3 linked regions of the Bombyx mori genome follow. The main gene of each other region encodes a partner of the protein of the gene in region 2 in a complex. Links are inferred from orthologs where the notes say so. Each region holds a gene or a part of one and is shown on either strand. Other genes may lie near its edges.

Region 1 (3,291 bases), on a different chromosome or scaffold from region 2:
AGATTAATTTGGTTTTGCTCTAAGAACTTTATCAATATGTAATCAAGGTCACCACTTTGGACCAGATGCATCCTTAAAACCTCCCATTTATTGCACCTATACTTTATTACCATCCACATCGTATGGTAATACTATAACTATAACTTCTATGAGTAGGAATAAAAAAATCATGCTTAGCATTAATTAATATGTCTCATAAAAATATTAATGGTATGGCCAGCCTTATTTTTATTTATTATCAGGGTGCTGGCAGAGAACTATTTCTGCAATTACTTAGGATGGTACAACATTTGATGCCTATAGGTGCCTATTATTGTTACTAGAATATAATATAATAGTATCTCTGTAGCATGATTGTACACAATCTAACTGACATGGCCAATTTTACGTCAAATAAATCTCTCATAAATCAATACACCTACTACCCCTATAAGAATACTATTTATTTGCAAAAAAAGGAATAAATCGCATACAACATGTTTCACAAAATAAATTAATTAAAATAGTAAGCATATATCAACTTTCAGAAGTATTTAATGATTTTTTTCTAGGTCCACCTCTATGTGATCAATAATCTTGCATGATTATAAAATCCTTTATTAAAAACAACATTTTCAACATTTCATAAAAATATTAAGGAATGCTACTTAAATATTTGAGCCTATTACATTATTTAAAACGATAAGAACAAAAACATTACAATTTTAACAATTAGAATGATATTTTTATAGATAAAAGATAATATTTTCTAAACTATACGTTGATTACAATTAAACAAAAAAAAAATATTATTTTATTTTATTAATTTTACACTTATGATCCCATTAGATTAGAGGTATCACAGAATACACTGTTCTATTGTTTGTTCTATAAAAGTAAACTATGGTTTACACACTATGGTTATTTGATCATACTATGCTAACAACACAATAATGTAAATAATAAAATATTATTTTATTTTATTAATTGCTCCAGTATTTCAGGATCGAGACCTTCTAACGAGACTTTGAGTTTCACTGCCTGCAATGGCACTCCTACTTGAACCATTTTAACAAATTTATCATATTCAGGTTTAGTTTTCATTTCTGCTGGGGCTTGGTCTTCTAGTTTTCTTTCTAGATTTTCTTCTTGGAGTTCTGTTTCATTTTGACTTTCAGTAGATTCAGTCTCTGTAACATTACTTGTATTTGTCTGCTTAGGAATGTCTAATTCTGGTATTGAAGATAACTGAAATCAATAAGTTTTATCTATTTATGTATCGGTTTGATGTATGCTATCAATTAAAATGAAGTTTTTGAGGCACATGGGCAATTAAAGAAATGGCATAAACACAACCTGAATAAGGATTATGGTGAAATGCAATGATGCCATATCTTAAAATTAGTAGTAGTCTAATTTCTAATCTGGTAGGAGACCGTTTTTTTTTTAATTCAATTGAAGCTTTATGCATTGCAAATATATCAATAGGCTGCTCTTACTTTATCAGATCAATCAACAGCTTTCCAGAGAAGGTCTTGCAGAAATGGTTTATTATGACTAATGATAGAAAATAAAAACATTTTAGATATCCGTTTTTGTTTACATACAATAATTTATAAAAATATAATCACCTTAGATTCTAACAAAACCATGGCAGCATTAACTTTTTCTAATTTTCTCTCAAACTGCATCAGTTTCTGCTCGCAATTCGTCATAAAGTTATTCAGAAATTGTACATTTATTGTTAGGAAATGATTTACAAATGCCAATGTACGTTTTTGATGTAATGCCGCAACCTGCAATTTGTTTTTTAAATATTAAAAATAAATTATTCTCATTTATAAAAAAATATTGTGTTTTCTAGAATTAGGAAGTTTATAAAGATAATCAAGGCCGTGAAGTTTGTACTGCATTAAATTTTACAACAAATAATAATAATTCCAAATTTAAAACCTTAGTTAAATCCGTTTGTGGGGATTCGGATTGAGTTAAATCTTCTTGGATGGTCATTTTCAGTAGAATATAAACAAGACGAAAAAGAAATTTGTCTTGTGGTTTGGAAGCTTGAATTTGTTTTGTTCTACTGAAAAAACCAAATTGAATTACATTTCAATACATTGACTAATAGGTCCACGAGTTTTAATTACACTAAGTTTAATATAAAAAGCACCTAATTATTTTACAATAACAATCTTTTTCCTTCCGTGACAGTCGTACCTATTTATTTACGTTAAAAGAGTATGTAAGCAAATTAAAAGGAATATTTCAGTAGGTACAGTAGGTACGGTACCACCACCTAAGTCTGACATTATTATCATTAATTTACATTTATCAATATAACACTATTCTTTGACAATAGTGCTACTGTCCACTGTCAATATTTGTAGTAGTTCTATTTTTCCAACTGGAAAGGCAAAAGTATCATACGATACAGCCTAAGTTATCATTGTATTTTATGAAAAATGATAATATGAAGTAAAATGAAATAGAGTTGATTAATTTGAAACAATAATCAATTGGCGTGAAATCTAAGTAAAATGATGGTTATTTACTGAGACTTTAAGGAAACTGCCACCTCGCCCCGGGCAACAGTCTCATCAAAGAGGGTACACACACGCATGATTGCGTCGATGGTAGACCGGCCCTTTCTGAAGCCGTACTGTTCGGCTGACCGATTGGAACCCGTCCTGGGGATGGGGCAGATGACGCATCCACGACTTGCTCCAACAATTTTCTAGTTTCGTCCAGCAACACGATGTGGTGGTACACCACGGATGACTCCTAGAGGAGCTCCTCTTTCCTCAGAAGGATGAATCTGTCCGATTTCCGTCCGGGCTCAAGGCAGGCTTCGAAAAGCCGCACAAGCCAATCCTCCAAAGTACCGAAGGCCTGACCTGGCCACGACTCCGTAGGAGATCTAACAGCTAAGGGCAACTGCTTCGCGAATGTATCTGTAATAAAATGTCTAATTTTGTAGTAATGAAAGCTTTTTAATCACTGAATACATGTGAAATGGCACAAGTTTTAAAAAATCAAACAAACATTGGACGTGTTCACACAAATCATCCACTCCTAGACGTGCAGCGACCGTATTTATTAGATTCCTGCGACTTTCAGTAGGACGTCAGTTCACCTCGTCGAAAGTCTATCTAAGCTGCGTCGTGTGTGGCTGCCACTCGAGAATATTTTCAAAATAAGTTCGTTGATCTCTCAGTAAGCACCATTGTTTCATTATCAACTCATCTAATATCTACTCGATGTGTTCTTCTTTCATTAAATTCCATTTTATAATATAATATTAATTTAATATCA
Region 2 (3,661 bases):
GTCCTAAGAGCACCGAGAGTGAATCCGGGGGATCCAACAAGACATGTTTCGGCGACGGCGGTTTTGCGTTGACAAAATGACCTACATCCAGTAAGAAAACTTAGGTATGCATATTGATGATCATTTCAAAGGTATTTCGGTAGGTCTCAAAATTAGCTCTATACTCGTTCAATTTTTTTTTCCTACCTAGCTGAGAGCCTTGAGAGGCTATTTCAGCGTAACCTTAACTACTAGGTGAACTCACGGGGCTCAAACCTGACGACGTTGCTAACACGAACCCTAGCGAGAGCCGTGCTTCGCAGAATCTACCACCGGATCGGAAATGCGACCCACTGAGAAGATCCGGCGAGAAACTCAGTGGGCTGTGTCTGAGGGTTACTCGTTCAAGAGGTCATAAGTTCGACACTAAGAATGTTCCGCCAAGTTTTTTTAAAGCTATATTTAGTAACTAGCGACCCGCCCTCGCTTCGCTTCGGAAACATTAAAACAAACATGAAACCAAAAAAAAAAATTTAAAAAAAGTAGCCTATGTTCATCAGGGACAATGTCGGCTTCTAATGGAAAAAGAATTTTTCAAATCGGTCCAGTAGTTTCGGACCCTATTCGAAACAAACAAACAAACAAATCTTTCCTCTTTATAATATTAGTATAGATAACGTAAGGCATGTTTACACGTGTTATTGACACGAGCAATAGACAAGTTTTAGACGTTCTCTATTGAGCAAGCATAATTTCAAAACAAATGACCCGGTGCCTCATTTAGTTGTGGTAAAATAAGATCCTTGAGTGTTTTTAATTAGAGCCTATTTCCTTGAAATTGACTTATAGTATCTGTGGTCAAATATTCGTGTTACAAAAATGGCAGAAATACTTCGAGACAGTATTAGATTTAGGGTAATTTTTTTTATATTTATGTACCGACTCGACATTGCCTATATTATGTACCTACTACGTTTTTGATTTGACACTGACTGACATTACGATGTGACAACAGTATAATTATCTATCATTTATCGTACCGTTTTGCACGCTGATTCGAATACTTTAGTCGACCACGGAATAATATTTTTAAATTTCGATAAAATCAGACACGACGACCGCCAATCGAAAGGTCAAGTACTAAACCAGATATTAAGATTATGTTTTCAACATTTGATTCAAGATATCCTTACCTCGGGTGCTTCAGAATCGACCGCGTGCCGTAACTTCGCTCTCCCAGCACCGCCCGCGCTCCTGATCGCAGCCATGAGGTCCGCGTGAGCATCACCAGTGCCGGGAGGAGATAGCGGCGAAACTTTCTCTTCACTGTTAAACAAACGGAGTCATTTTAGAACAAAATGTGGCCACCGTCACTCATTAATTTTAACACTGCCGAGCAGAGAGCCCAGTCCCGCTGCCTGATCTTGAGGACTCCCTTATAAAGAATATAAGACAATATAAGCGTGCTGTACGTGCAGAGCCACTAGTAGAAGTTCGTTTAATCCATTTAAAAATCATGAGTTTACATTCATCGGTAAATCTTATTTTTATAATTTACTATATAGCTGACCCGGCAGACTTCGTAGTTCCTCAATCGAGAAATAAAAGACTTAAACTTTTGTATAAAATAAACTTAAAACAAACAAAAGGAACTCGTCCGAAAAAAAAAAACAAAATTGTTATTTTTATTTAATTCCGAGCATTTTCATATTTATCTACCTTTTAAACCTTCTCTGGAATTCCACAAATTATTCAAGACCAAAATTAGACAAATCGGTCAATATAGGAGTTAAAAATCATTTTTCAAATTTCAACATACATTGATGCACGAACTGGGATATTGAATGCGATTGCATTACGATATGTAAATGATGTGAGAATTGTAAAGCGAACATTGATTATCGTACGTGAGCTTGTCGCGCGACACGGCCAAGGCCATTCCGTAATTATGAACCAGTACAATATACTGCTCTGCTTGTGAATTTATTAATAGACTAGCTGACCCGGCAGATTTCGTAGTGCCTTAAATAAACTTAAAACGAACAAACGGAATCCGTCGGACGGGGGACACATCAAAGGAAAAACAAAATTGTTGTTTTCATTTAATTCCGAGCATTTTCATATTTATCTACCTTTTAAACCTTCTCTGGACTTCCACGAATAATTCAAGATCAAAATTAGCCAAATTGGTCCAGCCGTTCTCGAGTTTTAGCGAGACTAACTTCGATCAGTACTATTATTGATCGAAGGAGACTAACGAACAGCAATTCATTTTTATATATATAGAAGAAGAAGATAGAAGACAAGATCAGTAAAAGCTTCGTTTATACGATCCCATTTATTTAGTGTACAAGAAAATAATGTTAATTCAATTTTATTTTTTATTATTGATAATATAGGTGAACGAGCTCACGACACACCTGGTGTTAAGTGGTTACCGGAGCCCATAGACATCTACAACGTAAATGCCAACGCCCATCTCGAGACATGACTTTTAAGGTCTCAGTATAGTTATACGGCTGCCCCACCATTCAAACCAAAACGCATTACTGCTTCACGGCACAAATAGGCAGGGTGGTGGTACCTACCCGTGCGGACTCACTAAACGTCGTCGTACCGCCAGTAAAGCTAATTATGTAGGTAAAGCAAATTTTAATTAAATGCTATTATGCTTCGAATAACACAAACAAATTACCAAACTTCCACTAATTACCCAATTTAATTTCTATTTTAATATTGGCTGTCCATTTTTTTTGTTACTAAGGAGCTACGACAAAGTAAAGAAGGCGCAATTAGGTAAGATAATGGCACCTAATTGTGCGGGCTCAAATACGCCCTACTGCTATATCAATTTATCCGTCATAATGTTATTGGCAGATGTATAAAAAACAGGAAGACGCGACAGGAAAAATAAATTGATTCCCATGTATCTACTGAAGTATCACACGCATCTCATGCGTGACAATGAGGGATTGAGATTTGAATTGAGAAGCGAATGAAGTGGTACGAATATGTTTGTGATACTTAATAATCGCATATTTACATCAAAAAAATATGTTATTTATTGTCATTTATTATTATTATTATTTTTATTGCTCTGGTGGGTGGACGAGCTCACAGCCCACCTAGTGTTAAGTGGTTACTGGAGCCCATGGGCATCTACAACGTAAATGCGCCACCCCCCTTGAGATATAAGTTCTAAGATCTCAGTATAGTTACAACGGCTGCTCCACCCTTCAAACCGAAACGCATTACTGCTTCACGGCAGAAATAGGCAGGGCGGTGGTACCTACCCGCGCGGACTCACAAGAGGTCCTACCACCAGTAAAAAATTAGTCAAAGACATGAACTTATCTCGGTCGTTATTAATGGTTAAAATGCCCGGACGACTGAAGTGTCATTAGATTTGAATATTGTGCTAACTAACGCTAATTATTTCACGAGTACATTAGATCCCCGTACGAATACGTTGCTAGCAGGTTGCGCAATACCGTCTTTACCATAAGGGCACACGGGGCCCGTGCCCAGAGCCCCCATTCTCAGGGGGCCCCTAAGGACCGACAATTTCTCTCACACATTTATTCTCAAAACATTTTTGTTGGGCGCATTACACTTTTTTTACAAATCAGTAATCTTATCAGAAGGTATTTACAAGGCATATACTACGCCATTATATCGATGA
Region 3 (3,761 bases), on a different chromosome or scaffold from region 2:
GACATGTCGAATGTTAATTGAGCTCAAGTGTTTATTGTTGCTGCTTCTTTCAATAAATATTTGATTGTTTAGATTGTAAAGATACTTCGAAACGAATATATGAATGTTGCGCATAATCTCTAGTATATCTAGGCCCTGCTCCAGAGTCTGAGTTGGGAGATTATCTTGAACCGTTTTTAAATTGAATTTTAGTCTCGCCATTTGTCTCATTTCACCATAAGTTTTCCAATCTGATAATACAACGGTAGTTAGGTTGTAGAACATTGTTGAAAGATAGTGTTCAACTGATGGCACAACACACATGTAAATGTACTGAACTCTAAAAGTATTAATTGCTAGAAGCAATTTTTTTACCATTTCAAAAGTAAATGGATTGATTACATCAAGTTGAAGATGTGAATGTATATGCAATCGTAAATTTGTTTCAATATTCTGACTTGCACCTTTGATAAATTTTTGTTCCATGTACTTTTTAACTGTTTCCATAAAATCTTCTTTTATATTACTATCAAATAATTTATCTGTTTTATGTAATAGCACCGTACAGTCTTCTAAGGCCATTAAGAAGTATTTTAATTTTAAAGTACTCAATTGCATAGAAAAGTTTTGATCAAAGTAAATTGGAAATATGTTCTGATGCCAGAACAGCCAAGAGCAATTGCAAAAACTTTCCATTGATTTCATCAAGTTTGTCAATGTTTGAACATTCTCTAACAACAAACCAAGCTTTACATAGCTGTCTTCTAAATAAGTACTTTCAGGTATAAAGCTCAGTGCTGTGTTAGCTACTACATTTCGTTCAATTGTAGCTACGCCACGAAGTGCTTTTTCTGCAATAACGATGCATGTAAGTTCATCCAATCTTTTATTTGCGAAATTCTTGTCTGAAACTAATAATTTCTTTACTTCTAATATTGTTGATGTTGCTTGGAATACAAAATGTTGAATGACCATATTGATAGATAAAATTATTTGGCTTCTATGCCGTGATATTGCATTCAGCATTGATTTTAAAATATTGATTATCTCAAATACCAACATTAACATACTCTTTGGAAGAGGTATCCCAAGGGAAAGATGTAAATTTATCAATGTCAAAACTTCATGATTGATTCTGGATGCTAGGTCCAAGCCATTTAAAAGAGTTCTGGAATGTAAATTCATTTCAGCAGCACTAAGCCTATGATGATCAGCAGAAAAGAAATCTTCAATATTTAACACCCATTGACCACATACTATTTGAAGATTAATTATATCACGAGATAGGCTAGTTTTTTTCATATTGATATACGATTGCCGTGTTTTCAACATAGTTTGTGATAATTTTTCCTGTTTTGCACAAAGTGCAGGGGCATGTTTCTGTAGAAATTGCTCAGGATACCACATAGTTGTTCCAATCACATGAACACTGTGTGCCTGAAAAATAAGACTGTTTGTATAAACTTTATTCATTTCAGCTGGCTCTCTGTCTGTGCCATGTGTAAATGTTACAAAAGTTACAATTGCTATAAATAAAATTAACACCAACCTTTGTGTTCAATTCCACTAATGACTTAAATATCTTCTTGTCTACATTACCAAACAATTGTGAAGACAATACAAATAAACTATTAATTTTAATACATTTGTACATATTTCGAACATTGGGTTGTTCCTGTACAAGTTTGTCCAAATTTATAATTCCCTGTTTAAGGTAGTGTGAAAACTCTGTTGCTATCATAGAACAATTCTTGTCAATCAAGTTCTTTCTCAATAGTGATACACTTTGTAATGATTTTTGTACAATATCATCATTCATTATTTTGACTGTGATGTTATTAATAGCCCCCATCATTGCATTAAATTTCTCTTCAGTAATATCTAAAGCTGCCGAGTTCTTGTTATGGTATGTTTTTAATGTTTTGCAAAATTTATTCCAATTTGTGGGCATTGAAGTATTGGCTATCAGTATTTCAAGTAAGACAAGAATAGTAAATATCTCTCCAATGTGGTTGATGATATAGTGTAGTTGAATGCAATCTACAATATCATGTTAGTATTAAGGTCATTAATGAATAATTTCATTTTAATAATTCGAAATTTACAACTAATGTCGGGGCTATCTACTTTCAGTGATAGCATAAATTTAATCAAATAAAAAAATAATATGCTAATTTAACCATGTAATATTGAACAAAAATAATTAATAGTAAACTCACTGAGATTAACAGTTCCATCGGAAAACAAAGCAAAAACTTGGTTGCACATGTTTCTTAAAGTTTCATCACATCGAATGATAAATGCGCAGAGTAAGCATATCATTTCCATCTGGGAACTCACATCTTCTGTTTCATATTTTTCATAAGCAGCCAAGTAGATAAAATACCTGAAACACAATTAAAATATTGCTACATTCACTTGCATAATTAAAAGTTTACACTTCTGCTTAGACGTAACTGTGGAATGTTTCTTCATAAAAATGAGAATTTTTATAAAGTTCAATCATAGCTATTATTACTGTGGATTTTCGGAAACTCGATAAATAAAACTCACTTTTCAAAGGCTTCCTCTTTCAAGTTATTTACTTCAACACATAAGGAAGTAAACACACTCAAAACTTTAGTCATAAATGTGTTATCCGATACTACTAACTCAGTAATTGGTACGAGCTCGTGTGGACTCATGAGTAATTGAATCGGCAAAAATGTTTTATTATCATCTAGTATTTCATTATTGCAATTGAATGCCAAAACCTGATACTGCATCTTGAAAAATATGCCATATTTTTTTAAAATATTGCTTGTACTTTCTTTCTCGAAATCACTTTTCATTTTTATGCACTTGTATTTCAGATTAAAATAATATTGAAAGAAATAATCACTATGTACTTTTTGTTGACTATTAATTACGATAATTCTGTTTAAAATGTTTTTTGTTGATGTTTATTCTTCTTCTTCTTTATTTTTGGCTCTGGCACGTTTTGTGCATTAGCCAGCGTCAAGTAATAATGTTTTTATAATTCGCCGTTTTATTTATTTACAGTTTATAAATAATAAAAAACGAAGGAAACTTATCGCAACAAAACATAAATGATTTAGAACGAATTGAATTTACAAAAAAAATCAGAATAATTATATAACAGGGAAAATAAATCAAAATTATAGTTTAATGTTATTATTTAAAATAAACCTACTTAAAATACTATATACAAGGGGATTAAAATCTCGAAGAAGTAAAGAAATATTAGTAGGAAGGGGAACAGAGACAGATACTAAAGAAGTATATAAGGAAGAATGATCATATAAAGAACAAGCAAAGAAAATATGATTCAGGTCACAATAACTCTCGCCACACTCACAGGCGGTACCAGTTACGATACCAAGTTTGTGCAAATGAACTGGAAGGCTGTTATGTCCCAGACGCATACGAATTATAGTAGAAGTGGCGGTTTTACCAAACGACAATTTGGCAAACCATGGCTTCCTGGGAACGGAAGACTGTATAGCATACAAGAAACGACCCTTAATCCGGCCGCTCTCTTCCCAACACATATTCCACGATTTGTGGAGGCATATGCCGGGCAAAGCAGCAAGATCATGGCCAAAATTCTTGTACGGGTATACGTCACCGGTCACAGTAGCACTGTTGGCCAAACTGTCAGCTTTCACATTTCCAGATATGCCACAGTGACTAGGTACCCAACAAAATGATACTAAATAGTTGTGTGATTGGCAGTGCAACAGCTTTCTCTTACATTCAAATATTACATGAAAAAAAGGGTT

What was found.
Region 1: WASH complex subunit 1 (region 2) and WASH complex subunit 3 share a complex: the UniProt entries of both Homo sapiens proteins name them as parts of the WASH core complex. The link is inferred for Bombyx mori from reciprocal best matches to the Homo sapiens genes WASHC1 and WASHC3.
Region 3: WASH complex subunit 1 (region 2) and WASH complex subunit 4 share a complex: the UniProt entries of both Homo sapiens proteins name them as parts of the WASH core complex. The link is inferred for Bombyx mori from reciprocal best matches to the Homo sapiens genes WASHC1 and WASHC4.

What each region holds. Positions count from the first base shown.
Region 1 is NC_085118.1:943,616-946,906, reverse strand, and holds WASH complex subunit 3, read right to left. Parts: upstream 2,346-3,291; 5' UTR 2,197-2,345; exon of another isoform or gene 2,150-2,196; intron 2,063-2,149; 5' UTR 1,990-2,062; coding exon 1,933-1,989; intron 1,776-1,932; coding exon 1,611-1,775; intron 1,228-1,610; coding exon 955-1,227; 3' UTR 582-954; downstream 1-581. UniProt on the Homo sapiens protein: Acts as a component of the WASH core complex that functions as a nucleation-promoting factor (NPF) at the surface of endosomes, where it recruits and activates the Arp2/3 complex to induce actin polymerization, playing a key role in the fission of tubules that serve as transport intermediates during endosome sorting.
Region 2 is NC_085123.1:2,973,272-2,976,932, forward strand, and holds part of WASH complex subunit 1, read right to left. Parts: intron 1,306-3,661; coding exon 1,173-1,305; intron 1-1,172. UniProt on the Homo sapiens protein: Acts as a component of the WASH core complex that functions as a nucleation-promoting factor (NPF) at the surface of endosomes, where it recruits and activates the Arp2/3 complex to induce actin polymerization, playing a key role in the fission of tubules that serve as transport intermediates during endosome sorting.
Region 3 is NC_085118.1:10,740,154-10,743,914, forward strand, and holds the start of WASH complex subunit 4, read right to left. Parts: upstream 2,811-3,761; coding exon 2,533-2,810; intron 2,366-2,532; coding exon 2,199-2,365; intron 2,020-2,198; coding exon 1,529-2,019; intron 1,417-1,528; coding exon 1-1,416. UniProt on the Homo sapiens protein: Acts as a component of the WASH core complex that functions as a nucleation-promoting factor (NPF) at the surface of endosomes, where it recruits and activates the Arp2/3 complex to induce actin polymerization, playing a key role in the fission of tubules that serve as transport intermediates during endosome sorting.